Struthio camelus: one gene and its partners. The protein of the gene in region 3 interacts with the protein of the main gene of each other region in a pairwise test. Links are inferred from orthologs where the notes say so. Each region holds a gene or a part of one and is shown on either strand. Other genes may lie near its edges. The genes, in order: LSM10, CLNS1A and LSM3.

Region 1 (4,870 bases), on a different chromosome or scaffold from region 3:
TTCTTTTTCTTTTTTTTTTTTTTTTAAATGTTAGATCAGTATGCCCATCCTCTGGACCACAGTTATAACACAGGCCAAAGCTAGTCATACATAATCTTTATATACATCAAAATCTCTAAGAACCCAATCCATGCCATGCCTAGGCAGAAAAGCTGCAAGGTCAGACTTCCGAGAACTTGCATCAGAAGATACTTAACTGACGTTCTTGTGGGTGGAATATTCTTTTGCAGGTCTCCATCTTTCTGAAGGATAAAGTACAAAATTCCAATGGCCGCTTTGTGCTGCCAATATCGGGCCCTGTTCCATGGGGTACAGAAATTCCAGGACTCATCAGGTACATTTTTGAACCATTGTTTATGAAGTTTGTAGCGCCTTGCATGCATGGCTGCTCACGAAGGAACAGTTAGTCCCCGATGTCTAATAAGAATCATGCCTAGACTGTCACTTACGGTGCATGGATATCTGAACATCTAATAAGTATTATATATAGGGCAGGATCTGGAACTGAGTCGCCCAGTAATGAAACATTAAGCATGTTTTTGTCATCCCCTATTTCAGATACTTAGATGTTATTTATCCTTTAAAATAGGCTCCCATCAATTTACAGAACAGAGTTTTATTCCCCTTTCTTGTAAAACAAACAAAGCAAGTCAGTACTGAAATTTACTACTAAACATGTTTCAATAACGACTTGTTTTTAAGGATGTTTAATCACAATGGAGATGAGGTTAAAAGAACTGAATTCACCACTGATGGAAATTATGTTACTCCACAAAGGGAAGGATCTTTTGATCTTTATGGAGACAGAGTCCTTAAACTTGGAACAAATATGTAAGTCACTTTTGTCCTACATAGAAACGTGAAAGTAAATGCTGATGGCTATATGCTTGTCCAGAAGGACGGCATCAGCCTTGTTTACTTATTTTTGCCTCTTTCTCTATGATCAGCTTGACTCTTTCACAGAATGATCTTCTGAAACAAAACATACCTAGCAATAGATGTGTATAAATAAAGACAGTCACAGTTTAATTCATGTCTAGAGTAGAGCTGAGCAAAGAGTGTTCTCATCTGGTACTGCATATTCTCTGGAATGTGATTTCATGTTAACTGCATTCAAGGGATGCTTTTTTTTTCCTGTTTGTCTGACGTAATTTTTTCCATTCACAGAGCAAGAGACAGCAGCGTTCGTTCTTATAGTTTCGTCACTTGCACATTTTAATGCATCAATATTCCATAAAACTGAATCAAAACTTTTACTTTTTCTTCAGAAAAATATTGCTAAACCACATTCGGATCCTGTTGCTCCATTCTATTCCACTATCAATGCAGCTAATGGGGAGCTCTTCCTTGTATATTTTTTCTCACTAGGTACAGTGTTAGCCGGCCAGTAGAGACACACATGGCAGGATCATCCAAAAGCTTGGCATCCCATGCAAAGGTCAGTGTTCTCAGTCTATAAATTCAACCAACCATTTTAAATGTGTAACTGATATAATTATGACTTACCTGCACTATCTCCACCATTAAAAATACAGAAATATATTTACATCACTTTGAAAAATATTTATCTAATATGAGAAATGACCAAACTATTGCAGTCCTCATTTTCCTGTTAATCTGGCCATTTAACCCATTACTGTTTTTTACAGGAGAATACAGCCCCTAATCCTCTTGCCAAAGAAGAGATGAACTTTTTGGCCAGGCTAATAGGAGTTCTGGAGATCAAGAAACCTGGTGGCAATGAGACAGGATTTCGACTAAACTTGTTCACGACAGACGAGGAGGAAGAGTATGCTCGAGTTGTGCTTGGTTGGGGTTTGTGATTTAGTCCCATGTGGACAGTCCTGGAGACTGAAGCTGAGCCTTAACAGCCTTAGGGACAGAATAAGCAGTCTTTGTAGTATCTCCTTATCCTGGTGCAGATAGTCCCTGAAGGAACACAAGGAACAGCAGTTTCCCTGGCTTGACCTTTTTTTTGGGACTAGCAGCAAGGAGACGCATTTGCGTTACTGGTGTTTCACTTGTGATGCAAGCTCTTGTCCTTGGGACTGCTTGTCCCTTGAAGTGAGACTGGCAGATCACCAGTCTGTGACCATCTGTGCTTAGGTCCTGTCACACAGAACTGAAACAACGTACATCCCTTCAGCTCCTTTAGCTCTCCCATCCCCCAAATGAATACATACTTATCTCCTGAAATATACATATCTTAACAATTGATCAGTGGTGATAAGCCTAACAGGCTTGACTACCTTAGCTGCTTCCTAGCAGGGAGCAAAAGGGTAATGAGACATTTCATTATTTGATTTCTGCAGAATTTTTTTTGCAGAAATTTTTGCAGATTTGTTTTATTTGCAACTAAAGAGAGACTCTCACTGTTCTACAGCTAGCATAAGAAATCCAAGACAGGGATAAGACTGCAAACTGGGATTAATGTATTAATTTGCCTAGTAAAAATAGCAAAGTTGTCTAAACTTCATGTCCACAGCAGCCTCATGAATCTGATTCTGTTTTCATCACTTACTGGTATGTCATCGTGAGATTAAGCACTTTTTTCATGTTTTCAATCAAGGCACGCAGCATTGACTAGACCAGAGGAGTTATCTTACAAAGTTATCAACATAGAAGCCACTCAGGTATGTACGGTGTATTTCTGATCTTTTGATTCTAATCGTTCTTTCCTTGCTAAGAACTGAGTTTTACCTGTGGTAGTGACTTAAAAATATATAGATGTGTTGTGTTCAAATTCAGTTAAGCTCGTGATAAGTAATGGAAATATAGTCTACTAAGTTTGTAGATATAGTAATTACTGAGTAATAGAACTTGAAATATTTGAATATTTCAAATATTTGAATTCCAAATATTTGCAGCTTTCTCACTTATTAGAACAAGTTTTAAGACCAGATGGACTAGAGAACGCATACCGGATCATGCCTAATGCCTGTAAACCCTTAAATCACCTCCTTAATTTTAACAGGCAATTGGGCATCTCTGAATAGGGCTGCAATACTGTGGTACTTTTACAGGGGAGAATCCCAGCCGGTGTCAGGAACACAGGCGGGAGCACCGTCAGCCCAGGAGAGGCAGTTGTCGGCAGATTAACGGGGGGAGCAGTACCCCTGCGCTCGCTTGTGGCACGCCGGGGCTGCGGGGGCCGGGGGCGCAGGCTGAGGCTGTCTCTCTCCGCGCAGGACCCGGGGCGGCAGGAGGAGCTGGCCCGCATCCTGGGGGAGCTGGAGGTGGCGGAGCAGCGCCCGGCCAGCACGGCCAAAGGCGAGGACCTGCTGGCGCTCATGGACGGGCTCTGACCGCCCGCCGCACCATTAAATACGCTGTTCCCAGCCTGGCACCGAGCGAGAGTCCGGGGCCGGGGGCGGGCGGGCGGCGCCGGGGCCGGGGGCGGGCGGGCGGCGCTCGGGGGCGGGCGGCTCCGGGGCGGTTCGGGGGCCGGGGCCGCACTGCGCACGCGGCCGCTCCGCGCCGCCCCTTCCTGCCGCCGGGCCGCGCGGGTGAGTGTGCCGGGGAGGAGGGAAGCACATGCACGCGAGCGTGCAAGGGGGGGCGGGCAGCGTGCACGCCCGTGTGCGCGGGGATCCAAGCGGCGCGTGGCCGCGGGAGAGGGGCAGCGGGCGGGTGGGTGTGCGGGGGGGCGCCTGCAGAGCGAGAGTGCGAGCAGCGGGAGTGGGCGTGCGGGTGAGCGTGCAAGAGGAGGAAGACAGTTTGTACGTGCGTGTGCAAGGAGAGGAGGGCGGTGTGCACCTATGTGCGTGTGCAAGGGGAGAGGGGGTGGTATGTACACCAGTGTGCAAGGGGAGGAGTGTGAAAGCATGCAAGGGAGATGCAGTGCATTTCTTTGGTGGCTGCACCGCAGCATGTGCCCCGGGACACAGAGTCTGGCTGACCTGCCCCTGGGGGAGCGGGCAGTGGGGCAGGCAGGTGCTGGTCAGAGCGCTGCATGGCGTCTCCTGTTCCTCTGCTACAGCGGCGCGATGGAGGTCAGCCACTCTGTCAAGGAGCGCACCATTGCCGAGAACAGTCTGGTCATCCTTCTGCAGGGCCTGCACGGCCATGTCACCACTGTGGACCTCCGTGATGAGAGCACAGCCACTGGGCGCATCACCAACGTGGACGCCTTCATGAACGTGCGCCTGTCTGAGGTGACCTTCACAGACAGGCAGGGCACAGTGTCCCACCTGGATGAGCTCTTTATAACCGGCAGGAACGTCCGCTATGTTCACATCCCCGACGAGGTGGACATCAGGGCCACCATCGAGCGTCAGCTGCAGGCAATCCACAGGATCCGCTATTTTGGAGGCCGTGACAAGGGCAGGAAGGAGTTCCCTCGAGCGAGGCACAAGTGATCCTTCCTGGTGCTGCCGTATCTCCAGCTCCAGCACGGACCCTGGCGCCACGTGCACGGGAAGGCAAGGACAGGTGTGTCCCCTCTTGACAGGACACTGGGACTTTCTGCCAGCTGCCTCCACACCTTGCCCTGGGCATCCCTCCCAGGGACACAGGGCTCTGCTTCTCCCCTGGCTGGTGCCTATGGGAGAGCGGGGGGATCCTCAGTGCGAGGTTATTTTTTTAATGAATAACCCTGCTTTAAAGGATCTGTGATTTCTCTTTTTTTTTTTTTTTTTTTCCAGCTCATTTCCTGTTTGCTTGGCAGCTACTCTGTATCCCTTCTCTCACTGCTCACCATTCTTCTCAAACAAAGCCCTTTTGGTCAGAAGCCACAGTTTGGTGTTATTGCTTGGCTGTGGTCTCCCACAGGCATCCTACTGCTCTCACAGCTTTGCCTTCCTGGCTAGTGGAGACTGGGACCCCACTGCTATGGGTACCTCTGTCCGCAGGAGATTGAGCGCTGTGGAAA
Region 2 (7,526 bases), on a different chromosome or scaffold from region 3:
GATTTGAAGGGGATAAAATTCTTCTACTAAAACATATGATAGGCCTGGTTACCCGTGCTCCGTTTGTTTGTTAGAGCAATTTAAGGTCCTTAATAGCTACTAACCTGCTACTCAAGTTAGCGGTAGAAAAGGAAATCAGATCATAAAGCTGTATGCCTTGTTTGGTTTTCCATTTCATACTCATTATATGGACTCTAAATTATTGTACAGTATCTTATTCCTATACTATATTCATTAAAATGGTACTCCTCCCCCTAACTTACATTAAAATAATTTGTCTTAAATGCCAATGCGGTTGCTAGTTTCTACCTGTGTTTCACAGTCCTCCTTAAGAATAGATCTGTAGCAGCCGTGAGACGGTTATTTGACTGATTCAGAAGTTTAATGTCACTGTCCTTGGTGTGCATGATGGTTCTCAAATAGGCACAAACCCTGTATATTAGATGTGAACATCAGGTATTTTCACTGTCCCAATTAACACAGAGCAGGTCACTTGCTAGCAGAATGGTTACCCTCCGATATTCTGTGACAATTAGATCGAAACTGCCACATAGGTCTCGTACAATTGAAGATCTGCTTACATGAAATACAGTTTCGTCTTACTCCTGTGTGCTGTTTTGATATGTTTGCAGAGAAACCTGGAGTTCCTTACAAATGGCCTCGCTCACAGTTGGCCTCGTTTTTGTTTCTTTCTCTAGAGAGTTAACGCAGTAAAGTTGCAAAAGCTGAGCTCTTTGTGGAGTTTAACCCTGGCATTTCTTGAGTCCTGAACCTTGATTTTTAAACCTCTTTTCAATCATGACTTGCTACGATAGCAAAGGGAAAGGACCGAGGGACACACACTGTGTGTGTGGGAAGGGGGAAAATATGTTGAAAAAACTGGAAGTGTTATTCTTGTTGCACAGAAATTGGGTGGTGCTTTCACTGTCTCTTTTTCCCCACAACTAATATCACGTGCATGTAAAACATGATGCATTAAAAAACTTTTTAAAACGGAAGTCATGGTGGCCTCAGTGCTCAAAGGGTTAACTGCAGTTTAATAACAGCTAATGTTCTTAGATTTGCAGTACACAACTGTTTAAATACTGTATTCCTTGTAAATGAAGTAAAAAAAAAAATGTTAAGGCTGGTGCCAATATTTTTGTTAATGAATTGTTCAGCGTTGTCTCTCACTACAGTCTGGTCAGATCTCTTTGTGTATAAGCTGGGCCTGAAGCCATTTTATAGCTTGTAGGCCTAATTGTGTAACTTTTCTTTCATAATGTTTTTGTTATAATATCTACTGTCATTTCTTTCATATAAATATGACATGTAAATTGTCATAATAAAAAAAAAATTGAAATAACTCGACGTACAAAGTATAATGTGTATTGAAGAAGTAAGTTTGCTTTTTAATGATCATCACCCATGCACCTCCTGGAGGGGTATCTTTTTGCCTGACTTTTAAAATAAGCGCTGAGTAACGGCTGCTGCATTTCATTCCAGCCTTTCCCAGTGATACTGCCCGGCCTAGGAACGAGCAACTACTGTTTTGTGTTGATTTTTGTTATGACAGTTCAGCTGACGGAGCTTTTCCTTTGAGCAGCTGTAGCTGACAGTGAGGAAGACCCGAAGGACCTATTTTTGCACTTGTGATGATTTGTCTTTGTAGGTTCCCTCTTCTACATCCTTTTTATATATAATTGCAGAGTGATGTTGCCGTCACTTGAAAGCCAGTAGCATGAGCAGGGCTCAGTGTTGGTCTTAACGCTGCAGCATCCACTTCACTTGCTGCCGGAGTTGCCTAACTGCTGAATTACAACTGTGAATTCTTGCTCCTAGGGAGCAAATCTTCCTGTTACCAGTTTTTGCTTGCATCGGTCATACTGTTTGTGCGACTCGCGGCCAAGAGCGTCCCCAGCTAGGCTTTTCAAGCATACATCTATGACATTTCCACATAGTACTAATGAGAGAGGACCTGGGTTCCTTTATTTGGGCAGAGACCTGAAAAGCCACCGTATACAAGCCGGTAGAGAAACACTAAAATGTAGGCTTTGGGGCATGTGACTATGGTAACGGGCACTGACAGCGTTACGTGAACTGAGGTCAAACTGCTGCCTGTTCCCGTACTGATGAGATACTGCTGTGAACTCCAGCCTCGTGCTCCAACCTAAATGCCAAAATTTTACACTTGCATTTTTAACGAGCTCTGGGTGTGATTCATGTCACCTTACGCTAGATGTCTTAAGCCTGAGCTGGCCACTGTACTCGACGCAGTGCGGTGTCGTCGGTGGAGAGAGACAGGCACCCTCAGATGACTTTTAACCACCCTTTGAAGGTACCTACCTCTCTCCACTGGCTCGAAATGCGGCCTAGGCTAAGTCACAGTTGGACATCTAATGTGTAGACACCAGTGCTGGGGATCCTGATCCTGAAGAAAAAAAAAAAAAGCTTTCAAATAGAAGCTCTGTTCTGTTTCTCTTGTGAATTTATGGACAACTGGAAATGTCTGCTTGCTCACTCAACTCTCCAGAGTGGAGTAATGAATTAAAAAGCCAGCTTTCGCTATGTCACTGCTTATCTTGGTAAGGACAGGTTGGTATGTTTACTTGTCACTGTTCGGTACTGGGGTATGAAGTATCTATAAAATAGGAAGATGTGGCTTTCTTTTCCTCCCTTAAGGCCCCAGACCTCAAAACGAATGCCCTGCCTTGTCCAAACCATCCTTCCTCCTTTCTCCTTTAAAGAAGTGTATTTTGTGACACAAGAAAAATAGCATTTATGTGCAGAAGGAAGAATGAACTCTACACTGATCCACTGCAGTGGCTTAATTCAGCTTTAACCATTCAGTTGTTCTGATTTAAAATAATCTAATGGAGTTGTCACACAATTTCCAGTCAGGGGGTGAGCACTCACTCTACAGGGGTGCTGAGGGCAGTGCATATCAGATCACTGGGGGTGGAAACGAGCAGGAATGTTGATTTTATAACCTCTACGTGTGATGAACGGGCATTTTCATATATTTGCGCCTCATCCCGCCAGTTGCTGTAATCTGATCTGTATTCGTGGATGAATTGTAGAACTTCCTTACCATCAGACGGGCATTTCTGTACTGTTTGGGCATGGCAAACCCGAAGATGGCTGAGAAACTTCTGTTTCCTCATCTCTTATTGCTTCTGTCAGTGTTTCGAGCTATCCTAACAATGTTTAAATACCACTTCATTGTGGAAGTTGCTTTCTGTCACGGTGGTTATTTGCATGAATAATAATTGTTGCATAATTGGAATCCGGAATGGATAGGATGGGCTGATCAAAACATTTTAAAAAGCTCAGCCTAGAAGAATTATGTATGTTCTGGTTCCCTTTGTTTCTTCACACATTTTCTTTTTCCAGAATGCCTTTCTTTGGCCCTTGGCCACCCAAGACTAGAATAAGAAAAGTCCAGAGAAGGAAAAATTGGAAGAGCTAATGCTGTTAACAATCTGCTCCTGTGCGTAAGAACCTGAGCTTGCCAAGAGGTAGGTAAATCAACTCCTTAGAAGTGAATTGAAGCTGCTGAAAGAGAAGATGGAAAACCATGACAGCAAGCTAGCCAGCTGCACAGGCGCTTCGTGAGTCTGCTGTTGCCCCGCTAACGTGGAAGCACTGGTCAACCTCAAAAGGTTTGTCCGGTCGGAGAGAAGATTGCCGTGGTGCTGCCTCACCGAGAGAGCCACCGGGAGAGTCTTCCGACAGGGACGTTTTCACTGGTGCAGCCTGAACGCGGTGATTTATTCCATCACCCTGTAGAGGTGTAATCCCGGCCTTCAACCAGAGACCACCAGCTGCTCGCCCGGGGGTGACGCACCGCAGAGATCCCCCAGCGGGACCCAGCTCCCGATCCCGGCGGCGTTTTATTTCCCCCTTTTGAGGGGAAACAGGGTCTCCAGGCCCGAAGCGGGGTGCCGCTGCCCTTCACGGACGCCGGCCCGGCCCGGCCGTCGCTTTGGCGCTCCCCTCCGCTCGCGTCTGCTCCGCCACGGGGAGTTTTAACTCAAGGATCTGCGGGACGTGGATGCTGCTCGGCTACAGGCTGGGCCTCAGGGCGGGTGTTTTTGGGGTGAGACCCCCTGCTTTGCTGCGCGGAGGGGCAGAGGAGGGGGGGGGATCCGCGCCGTGGAGAGAGGCGCCGCTGAGCGACCCCGAAGGGGCGGATCCCGCTGTTTCTGTGCCCCCACCTTTCCCCTCACCCCTCACTTATTCTACTGTACAGCGGCAGCAGAGGAGGGCAGCGCCAAAAGCGCCGATTACTGATTCCCCCCCCCGCCCCACAACCCCTGTTTTTCCGCTCGCAGCTCGGCGACGCCGTCTGCAACATGGCGGCGGCTGCGGCGCCGAGGCCACGTGACCCCCTCACACGGCCTCCCCTGCCATAGAGCGGTGCCTAGAGCGGCTGGCGTGCGTTCGTCTCGCTGCTCCCTCCCTCCTCTCCCCGCGGGGGCGGAGCGGCGCGTTCTGCTTCCGGGTGGCCGTGCGGGCGGGGAGGAGGCGGCGGCGGCGGCGCAGGCGGCGGCCCAGGCCCAGGCCCGGCCCGGCCGCGCGGTGCCATGAGTTTCCTGAAGCGGTTCCCGCCGCCGGCCGAGGGCGTCCGCCATCAGCAGCCCGACACGGAGGCGGTGCTGGCGGGGCGCGGCCTGGGCGCCGGCACTCTGTACATCGCCGAGAGGTGCGGGGAGGAAGCCGTCGGCGGGCCGGGTGGGGCGAGGGGTAACGGTCTTTCTCCTCCTCCTCTCAGGCCGAAGGGGGTCTGTGTGTGGGGGGGGGGTCTCCTTTGAGGGGCCTGTGGGGGGGGAGACCGTGGGAGGGGGTCCCCTCTGGGGGAGGGGAAGCTCTATGTGGGGGTCTCCCCTGAGGGGAGTGGGGGGGGTCTACCCCGGGGGGGGAGCTCTGTGGGGGGACCTCCCCTGAGGGGCCTGGGAGGGGGAGACCGTGGGGGGGGGGTCTACCCTGGTGGGGGGAGCTCTGTGGGGGGGTCTCTCCTGAGGGGACTGGTTGGGGGGACCGTGGGGGGGGGCTGCCCTGAGGGGGGGGAGCTCTGTGTGGGGGTCTCTCCTGAGGGGACTGGGTGGGGGGACTGTGGGGGGGGGGTCTACCCTGGTGGGGGGAGCTCTGTGTGGGGGTCTCCCCTGAGGGGACTGGTTGGGGGGACCGTGGGGAGGGGGGTCTACCCTGGTGGGGGGAGCTCTGTGTGGGGGTCTCCCCTGAGGGGCCTGCTGTGCGGGGCGGGGTCTGGTCTGCGGACGTGGCACCTCTCCTCCGCGGGCAGAGGCGGTGGTCGCGGCCGTGGGTTCTCTGCTCCGCTCGCGGTTTCCGCGCTTCTGTGAAATCCGTCGCGTCATTCACGTGGATGTTGTGCGTTTGTACTTGGCAGAAGTCAGTTAGGTTGTTCCAGAAGAACAGATGTTATATATACGCTCTTTATAGTTTCTTTTATGTTCTCCTTGCGGCGTACGGTTACAGAGGGCGGTTTGTTGTTTAAGGCAATGTATTATTTTTTAATCGGGGAAAAGCCCTCTCAATATGCTTCTTTGTAATGGAAAAGTGTCTTTAGAAGAATCAGATGATCTAAAATACTCACTGAGGAATGTATTGCCTTCTAAAACATCTAGATCCTGAAACTTTCTTAAAATTGGTGATATTATGTGTGAGAACCACCTGAGCCAGCACTCATGTGTCGTATTCCTCTTGTAGCAGAAGCTGACTGGGCTTTCAAACACCGCTTTGTTTAGTTGTTTGGTTGCAGATACAAGGGCTTGTGTTCACACGGGTATGCTTTCCATATGTATAACGCTGAGTTTCCTTGTGTCTTGCTTTCAATGGATTTGTTGTATGAGGCTCACACGAGCCTGCCAGCTTTCTCCCAGAACATTGCTAGTATGCTACAAAGCTTCTACCAGAGTCTCTCTCTCTGGTAGAGAATAGAAAGAGCCATCGTATGCGGGAGTCCCATCCTGTGGGAGCACAGTGAGGCTTTGGATCCAAGTACTGACTCTGCGGTAACAACTGTAAACACTGAGGACTGGCCGATCCAGGTTAGGAAAGAAGTTCCTCGCTCCCACTTCGTTAGCTCTTGTTCTTAGCCTGATTTCCTGAGGCGAGGAATCTTCTGTGACCGTTCCCGTTTTCATCCCCCAGCCAAAAGAGTTGAACAGCCTGTCGACTGTCACGAGCGGCAGAGGTCTCAGCTTCTGCCGCTTGGTATTTCTGTGAGGCATGTGACCTCACTGGTCACAGACCACCCAAAACTATTTCTTTGGTTTGTCAGCTGCTTGAAGTACGGTGATTTTTCTGATATGAAAGAGGTAGCAGCCCACTGGCAGCTGCGTAGCTCTGAGCTGGGCCCAACTTGTGCTGTCTCAAGTTGCGGTGAGAGTGAAAACGTGGGGAATCAGAGGTTAGAGTATATAAGGCATGAGATAAAACCACAACTTTGTTGGTTTTGCTGATCACAAAACTAGTTGTTTTCCCACATGCCGCTCGTTTGTAGAGGCAGTACTCACATCAGAGTTGTTCTCAAGAAGTTGTGATGGTGATCTTCCTTCCCTAGTGTACACTTGGTCTTGAAAAAACATGGAATATTTGATGGTTTGAGTTATAAATTATACACTGGAACCTGTGCAGTTATCCTTGTGGTGATATATCATCTACAGGGTATAGAAACTGAAGAGGTAGGGAGAAAAAACTCAGTCTTTATTGCAAATGTAATAAAGCTGAAGTTTGTTTAGGGTGCTCAGATTCATGTTTCTTATGAAAAGGGTTCTCTTACCTTTAAATATAAGCTATGCTGTTGCAAGGTGCTGTTAAGACAGTTCCAGGATCACACATCAGTAGAGAACGGGGCAAACGGGGTAAGTGCCTTGTCCGGGGTAAGTGCCTTGTCCGCCTTTTGAGGAATTACTCTTTTTGTTTGGGTTGATTTGCTTTTCTAAAGGTGTGAGCCAGGTGCCTTGGATTCCTTTGTGAGTCTCTAACTGGTCTCTCTCTTCCCCTTTTTTAGTCGCCTGTCTTGGCTGGATAACTCTGGACTTGGGTTCTCCTTGGATTATCCCACCATCAGTTTACATGCTGTCTCCAGGGACCTAAATGCCTACCCGTGGGAACATTTGTATGTCATGGTGAATGCTAAATTTGAAGGTATGCCCCAAATGTTGCTTACTGTTTTTATGCTGTCCTGAATGGCAGGATTTCTTCCTCAAACTGTCAGTTATGAAAGGGAGTAAACTGTGCATTTGAAAAGTATATGGTTCCTTTAAATGGTATCTTGTGGTTTCTCTTTTTCATTTCGCTGAAGGAGGATTATTTTAGAAGAATAGCTTTGCCCTGGCTTATAGTCCCTTCTGTGCTGTTCTGCATTGCAGCATGAGATTATGTGCTGCTGGAGCCACTGAACTTCAACTCTCTCCTCCCTTGTACTTACTTTAAACAATTTTATTCACCTGCTGCCTGCCTGTGATCCCAGGGCTTACATATCGTTCTTGCTTTACTGAATTTCTGTTACTATTGCAACC
Region 3 (7,571 bases):
GAATATTCCTTTTGGTAGACTAAGAAGAAGGAAAGAAAAGTTTACATTTACAAAAGTATAGTTGACAGAACACATCTGATAAGTATGTGACCAAATTCAATCATAAAAAACACCAGAAAACTCCAACAAAAGTAAGCTTGACTTTGCAACTTATTGGCATACTGAAGAGATCAGTACAATTAATACTAAGTCTTTGGACACTTCATACTTTCATAAGAATCTGCCTGAAACTTTTGTCAGAGCTTGGCCCAATAAGTACTAGCAATAGCCTATTTCAAACAGATAACATTGTTTAGTTTAAAAAAAAAACACCACCACCACACATCTTTCTACAAGGATAAATACACTGAACTCCTTACTTTATAAATCTCTTCATAGGTTTCTTCATCAATCTCTATTGTTGTTACAGTTTCTTCAACATCACCCAAAATCATATTTAGGTGCTGATCATATGCCTGTAGGAATGAAGCTCATTATTATTTTTACAAAGTTCAAACACAAGCTCATTAAAACGAGAATTTTGATGGAAGCGTGCCACTATGTTAAAGCAAAGTAGTATTAGTTATAGTTAAATTTTCAAATATAAAGGCAGACAAATCAGTACTCTGCAGCATGAAAAAACCCACTGCCTTTATATTCACAGAAATGCTCTTCCAGGAAATGGCTTTGAAGCTTTCAATGAGAATGCATGCAAAAACTCTGATAGATATATTTATCCTTGTCATTTATTGACATTAAACAAGCTATACATTCTTTGCCACCAATCCAGCCTCCTGGGATTGATTATCTGGGGCTAACTTAAAGCCCCACAAAAACTGAAAGCCACAACAAAAATTTTACAAAAGTGTTCCAAATACCTTCCAAAACCATATTAGAAATTACTATAACCAGATCTTCATGGATATGTCCTCATCATTGAGGTCCCAAATGAGTTGGGGCCTGGTTAATATATGGGACAACTGGTTATCTTCCCCAACACAGTAAAGTACTCAGGAAGGATGACTGGCTTAACAGAAAAAGAAAACTCTCTCATTAAGTGATACACCACTATCAGAAAAGAATGCACTTAAACAAGTCAGATTTGCAGAGGATCAAGTTGAGAACATATCCCATCGTATCCTTATTAGGCGTAGCTTAACAGTCATTTGTTTGATAATGATAATCTCATTCTTATTTCAATCTTAAATAGACCTCAATGTGCTTTACAAGAGGGCATCTGCGTCATTATGCTCATTTCATAAACATAGAAACAAAGGCCAAAAACAGTGGAATGAATTGGTCAGTGTTATCCAGAGGACTAAGAAAGAAAAAACAAATACACCTCTTGAGTCTCTAGAGCAGCATTTTATGGCAGACAGAATACTGAAAAAATTAGATTTTGCTACTGTCATCACAAAAAAAAGCTTCTGAGAAAAGAGGACCAACCTCCGTCAGTAAGACGACCTTTAACTTACTTTCTCTAACCACTTCTGCACTTTTAATCACAAGATAGTTACATGTGCTTTTAAACTAGTTATTATATAAGTTTGCCTGTAATATTATGAAGGCTGCTGTACATGAAACGAGCATTGTAGTACTGTGAAAGTGTTCTACTTACATGTAGTCTGCCTCTAAGTTCCCTGTCATTCCTCATTTTAACATAGATTCGCTCATCTAGACTGAGTCTGATGAGATCAAGTGGCTCCTCTACAGTATTTGTTGTTTGTTGCTGAAAAGTCAAATTAAAAAAGAATCATTTACACAGAAGCAGCTTGGGAACATCTCTGTTCCTCAGTATTGGTGAGAAACACAAAAGAAAGGGGTAAGAACACAAAATCAAGAACTCTGAATCATTCTTTCAAATCCCACTGTATCTTCGGGCAATTGATATTACCATTCTATGAACGTTTAGCAGCACGAACAAAATTAGCTGGCACGCTTCAACTTAGGCTGCAACAAATTGTGCTTCACAAATGCTGTCAAAAGGGCCACATGCCTTATCGGCAACCCTTGGCCGCGCTGCGGCACAAAGCCCAGCCTGCACAACTAGCTCTGAACTAGCTAGCTTAGGAGCCAGTGCCACAGCTGTGGCACCACACAGCTTAAGCTAGGAAAAGTGAACATACGCTCTCATTTCCGCCAGCGTATTGGGGTCAGCTGGGTAACGCACAGCCCCTCCTGCCCCAGCCACGCACCTCTGGCTGAGGCGCCAGCACAACGGCATCAGCTACGCCAGGCCTCACAGCGGAGTCAGAAACCTGAACGCCAGCAGGGCTGAGCCGCTCTCTCGGTGGTAAAGCTGAGCTTTCAGGACCGCAGCCGAAGCGCAGGAACACCCCCGTCTACCTTCCCTAGCACACGACCTATTGCCACCGCGGCGAAGCCTCACGAACGGCGTTTTCCTCACTTCCTCCTCCCGCGGCTCCTCAGGGAGGCCGGCCCGGCACTGGCACCGCCAGCAGCCCCCACACTCAGAGCCCCCGGCAGCAGCGCGGGGACCCCGCTATACCCCCGTATAGCTTCGCCGTAACGTCTCGGCCCGGGTGCGGCGGGCGGGCAGCGCCTCACGAAGGCTGCGCGGGGGGAGGCGCAGCCCGGGCCGGGCGCCGCGAGCCCCCACGGGCCGCCGAGCGTCAGCAGCCCGCGGGGCACTGCCGCCATTTCATGCCGGCGCCCCCCGGCCCGGGGCTGCGGCCCTACCGGGGCTGGCGGTCACGGGAACCGGCTCCCCGCGGCGGGAGAGAAGGAGGGCGCCTAGGCAATGGCGGCAGGAAGGGCCCCGCCGCCGCAACGCTCCGAGACCGGGAGCCAGAGCCGGGCCGCGGCGGGGAAGGTCTCCACGCTGCCTCCCGCGCTGAGAGAAGAAGCCGCTCACCTGGTCCACCTCATCCGCCATCTTTCAAACCGCCTCGCGCCCTCTCCCGCGAGACTTTATGGCCCTGCCCCTTCCCCTCCGACGGCGCGGGGAGGCGGGCGGCTCCGGCCGCTCCGGGCGGGGACAGCCCGTCCGCTGCCGCGGCAGCCCCTTGGGCGCTCGCCTCCGCCGCCGGGGCGCCATGGCCAGGAAACGCAAAGCTTCGTCCCGGCCGGCGGCTGCCGACAAGAGGCGGCGCGGGGGGCCGAGGGCGGCGCGGGGCGAGGCGGAGGGTGAGTGCGGGCGGCTGTGGCGGGCCTGGCTGGGCGCCGCGACATCTCTGGGAGGCGCTGAAGTCCCGCCGGGGCCTCGGGCCCCTCCGTTCCCCGGGGGGGCCGGCGCGGCCTGACCGAGCGCCCCATCCCGCCGGCTCCTTGTTGGCAAGCTGGGTTTTCTTTCAATAAAGACGGGGGAGCGTAAAGACCGGGCAGGGGGCAGCGCGGAGGGGAATCCAGCCGCTCTGTAGAGCTGAGAGGTGGCGGGGCCCTGTGAGGGGGGCCCGGCCCGGCCCGGCCCGGCCCGTCGCGGCGGGCACCGAGCCGCTCGGGGGCTCCTGCGCCCGTGCTTCGTGGCGGAGCGGGAGGCTCCAGGTGGGCTGATGCCCGCCAGATCTCCGCGACCTTCTCTGTTACCCAAACGGAGGGGATTTCAGCTCGCTCTTAGCACAGCCCTGGAGTTCAGCAGCCTCTGGTGTTGGAAAGGGTCATGAAATAAGACTAGAAGCTCTCTCAACTCGTGTTTGGTCCGTCCCTGCCGCTCGTTTGCCTACGTAGTGCGACACCGCGTTATCCCGGGCTTCTCCCACGTCCTCGCTCCGTTTGGGATATTTCCCTCTGGATTTTTCCAGAGGTGTAAAAGATCGTTTGGTGACTTCCCTGAACTGAATTAGCTTTTCTGCACAGCCCCAGAGGGGGTATGACTGAAATACATGAATTAGGGATTTAAATCAATGCACGAACTGTCCAGCAGGGCCCACACAAAGTTATCTGGAGGACGTTAAGGGTTTCACACACTGATAAAGGCTGGAAATCAGGAAGCAAGCGACCTGTTAAGGGTCTGGCTGACCTTAGTTATGACTCTTCTGTGAAAACACACCGTGCTGTAGTGTCCCCCGTGTGTCACCTGGAAGGTTGCTGTTATATTCAGTGGTCAGCGTCCCAGGAGATGCCTTAAATAAAGTTCTTCTGAGTAGCTTTACAGAATAGTTGTCTGAAGAAAATAATTTCTTACGAGTGGTAAGTAGGATGCTTGTTTTTCAGCTGCTCTCATTGGTAAGACTATAGGAATCTTTATGTATTTTTCCCACTACGTTGCTATTGTTTAGTAACTAACACTACGTTACTAACGCTACAATTATTTTCTTTTAACTGTTGTTGTTGAGTTATTCCCTATTTATTATGCAAATACTCAAATGGTATTCTTTATGAATGTTCACTTTCTTCTGTAGCTGGTAGGTGAAATTCTCCTCTAATGAACAATGTGAAGGTATTGCTCCTGACTGCAGTGGAGGTGACATTTCATCCTTTGGCATATCATCCTTTCATCCTTTCTTCTAGCTGGTGCGGATGATTTTGAAGAGAAAAAGCCCAATACAAGAAGGAAAAACTCAAAAGTTCCAGCTAGAAAGAGGGAAGAAGACTGTGGTACTGGAGTTTGCAGCTCAACAAGTAAGACTTCAAAACAAAAAGGGGTAAAATCAGTAATAAAAGAAGAAAATAAGAAAACCACTGAAAGTAAAGGGAGTCATAGTGAAGAGGAAATGTGCAGGTAAGTTCACTTACTGTTCATTTTTAGAGCCTATATGAACTCTTTATTCATGATTATATGTTTTTGTTTAGGGCCTAGTGCTGCAAATTGGTGTATGTGTAGCTTAATGTAAACAGAGTTGGCCTTGAAGAAGACGGTCTGTGGGGGAAGCAGATACGTGAGCCTTTTCAAATTCAATAGTTTAAACCTAAAATTTTTTTAATTTGTTATTCTAGTTTTTCATGGGGCTAGGGAGGTTTCATGGAACCCAGCATGTATAGAAATGTTGCGGGGAGACTTGAGTTTACAAGTATCAGCAGAAACCTTTAAACATATCATTTCCCTGTGTTTTTAGGAATCCAAATATAAGAGCAATGTGGTCTTCCCATGGAGGTTGCCATAGCAAAATTAATTAATAAGAAGACATGAAACTGATTGGTTGGTCTCATTCCACTGGCCAACTGGCCACTAATGTGTGGTGAAACAGAAACAGTTCTGATTTCAGTACACTTTGATGAAGGTTCAGTAAGAAGAAATGATTCAGTGAACTAATTCTCCAAGAACGCGTTTGTGCAAGCTGTTCTGAAGGATGGGACCTTTTGTACGTTCAGGCATCTTCCTTCTTAGAAAGCCTTGCGGAACCAGGACTTAAGTTTACACTGGAAAAAATGTTACCCCAATGAGCCCATGGTTGTTTATGGCACAGATGCTTTGCTTTACAGAGAAGGCATCTGTATTCACATACCTTCAAATATTCAAAACCTTTGTGTCTGTTGTTACTGATACAGAGGTCATGCTTCATTTATTTCCCTGTTTTTAATGTTTCTCTTTCTCTGTGTTTTTTTTTTTTTAATAAACAAGCACCCGCACTTCCCAATGCTAAAGCCATTTTAATAATTTCCATAGTGACTCACTGAAGCCACCTCAGGGGGAGAAAAATTTGAAGAGAGAATCTCCTGTTAAAAAAGAGATGGATAAAGACAATGCTGACGATGATGATGATGAAAGTGAAGATGAATGGGAGGATGTGGAAGGTAACAACCTTTTATTGCATTTTATTCATATTAGGGAGTAAATATTCTTATATGCAATTTTTTTTTGTAATTTGGTTATTCAGCCATTTCTCATTTGATTCAGGTAGGTGAGTTCTGTGTACTTAGAGTATCTTCCATGTGCATATCTGTATCTTTTAAAGCTGATATCTCACAATAATGCTAAGAATTTTTCCAAAGTAAAAAAAGACCAAAACAACCACTGACCTAATGCAGTGCCTTGCATTTGACAACCTGCTGATTATGTTAAAATGATGCAACTTCACAGCACTTTTTCAGCTGTTTGGGTTATCTAGTCCTTAGAGAAGCTAAGAATGAAACAGTTTGAAGATTCAAAACTGTGACTTCCTAGCAAGGCAGGATGGAGATGAAACCAACTGATCTGTTTGGTCAGGTGCCCCTCAACACACTGTGATGAGAACCATGATGATCATAATTTTATATTTTACTGCTATAGATTTATGCCTTCTAACAGGAAGAGCTATCCGTTTCTTCTTTTCTCCTCCGCAAGCACCCTTTAAGTCACACCTGCATCATTTTACTGGCCTTTCTCCTGTTTGGGTTTGTGACAGAGTGACTTGCCATTAGACTTTGCTGATCGGGTTCCTTAAGAGCAGAGTGACTAGCATCCCACAGCTACCTAAAACAGCTGAGCAGACTCTGCTATAGAAGATGCAAGAACTGGTAATTACTGGGGCGTTCTGTTTGTAGGTTGAGTTTGAGCAGATGATTGGGAGCGGGTAGGTTCTTATCCCATTGGCAGCCCTCCCAAGAGCATCCATTCTATGTGGATTAATTATAATATTTTATTTTTCCAGAACTCCAGGAACCTGTCATGGATAAGTTAGAAGAAGATGCTGTTGTTCCGGCAGCAGAGCTGCCAAGCAAACCAGTTGAGATAGAGATTGAAACCCCAGAGCAGGCAAAGAAAAGAGAGAGAAGGTAAGAACAGGGGAGGCTGTGAGGGGCAGTGAAAGGATGTTTAAAAGTTGAAGCTATGCCCAGTGTTAACTGTCACTGATTTGCTCTGTTCTGGGTGAAAATCCCCAAACTGTGCAGGCTGTTGACTTGGAATGATTTGAGGTAATGGGATGGAGGACAGTTTACATCCACAGAGGACTTTTCATCTGACGTTTTTATCAAAAGTCTTCAATGGAAGTTGGTGGGAATGGAGGCTTTTCAGCTTCTTTGAAAATCAGGCCCCTAACTTCATTGTGCATTAGTGTCCCCATCTCCAAACCAGGGATAGTAATAGGTTTCTTCGTGGAGAGCTGTGGGTAAATGGTGTTATTTTACTGTAAATATCTAACAGCTAAGGTGGAAAGCCTCTGTTTGCCATATCTGCGGGGGTGAATAGATGGAGTCAAATGAATGCCATCAGCGTCTGGGAGCATTTTACCAGGGAGGGCTTTCTTCCCATGGCAGCTGGAGGCCTGGCAGTGTCTCACACTGTTACAGGGTGGGCACTGTCCAGACGAGCCCTTCATTGCAAAGCAACTAGAATATCTGTTGTCTCCCAGTCAAAAGATTTAGTCAGTGAAAAGAAAACTGTTTATCCAGGAAACTGAATGTAAGGGTAGCAGTAATCTAAAACAGACAATTCAGAAAGCGAGTAATAAGTTTTGTATGGAGCTGTCTAAAGCTGTCTGGTAGGAAACTCCAGATACATAAAATTAGGTGGAATTTAGGCTATCCGAATATATCTGAGCTCTCAGTAGTCAGGTACATGGAGTTTATATGTTATTAGTCATATGCATCCTACATGCCTATTTGCATAGCCATTAACTAAACTTTTGCTAAGTGGGCACAGAATATTCTCTGGGATGGTTCTCTTTGTGAGCTGATACAGTTCAGGAATCTAGAAAGGCAGGTCCATAGAA

The links.
Region 1: the proteins of LSM3 (region 3) and LSM10 interact in binary tests that used the Homo sapiens proteins (3 or more experiments, as listed by UniProt). The link is inferred for Struthio camelus from reciprocal best matches to the Homo sapiens genes LSM3 and LSM10.
Region 2: the proteins of LSM3 (region 3) and CLNS1A interact in binary tests that used the Homo sapiens proteins (3 or more experiments, as listed by UniProt). The link is inferred for Struthio camelus from reciprocal best matches to the Homo sapiens genes LSM3 and CLNS1A.

The regions. Positions count from the first base shown.
Region 1 is NC_090964.1:10,314,995-10,319,864, reverse strand, and holds LSM10 (U7 snRNA-associated Sm-like protein LSm10), read left to right. Parts: upstream 1-3,986; coding exon 3,987-4,358; downstream 4,359-4,870. Other genes in the region: protein OSCP1, read left to right, coding at 231-334, 703-831, 1,369-1,438, 1,650-1,789, 2,570-2,633, 3,189-3,305. UniProt on the Homo sapiens protein: Appears to function in the U7 snRNP complex that is involved in histone 3'-end processing. Increases U7 snRNA levels but not histone 3'-end pre-mRNA processing activity, when overexpressed. Required for cell cycle progression from G1 to S phases.
Region 2 is NC_090942.1:220,530,838-220,538,363, forward strand, and holds the start of CLNS1A (methylosome subunit pICln), read left to right. Parts: upstream 1-4,466; 5' UTR 4,467-4,565; coding exon 4,566-4,684; intron 4,685-7,015; coding exon 7,016-7,152; intron 7,153-7,526. UniProt on the Homo sapiens protein: Involved in both the assembly of spliceosomal snRNPs and the methylation of Sm proteins.
Region 3 is NC_090955.1:9,034,512-9,042,082, reverse strand, and holds the start of LSM3 (U6 snRNA-associated Sm-like protein LSm3), read right to left. Parts: upstream 3,019-7,571; 5' UTR 2,876-3,018; coding exon 2,855-2,875; intron 1,709-2,854; coding exon 1,598-1,708; intron 456-1,597; coding exon 360-455; intron 20-359; coding exon 1-19. Other genes in the region: XPC (DNA repair protein complementing XP-C cells), read left to right, coding at 3,036-3,126, 4,450-4,660, 5,546-5,673, 6,510-6,633. UniProt on the Homo sapiens protein: Plays a role in pre-mRNA splicing as component of the U4/U6-U5 tri-snRNP complex that is involved in spliceosome assembly, and as component of the precatalytic spliceosome (spliceosome B complex).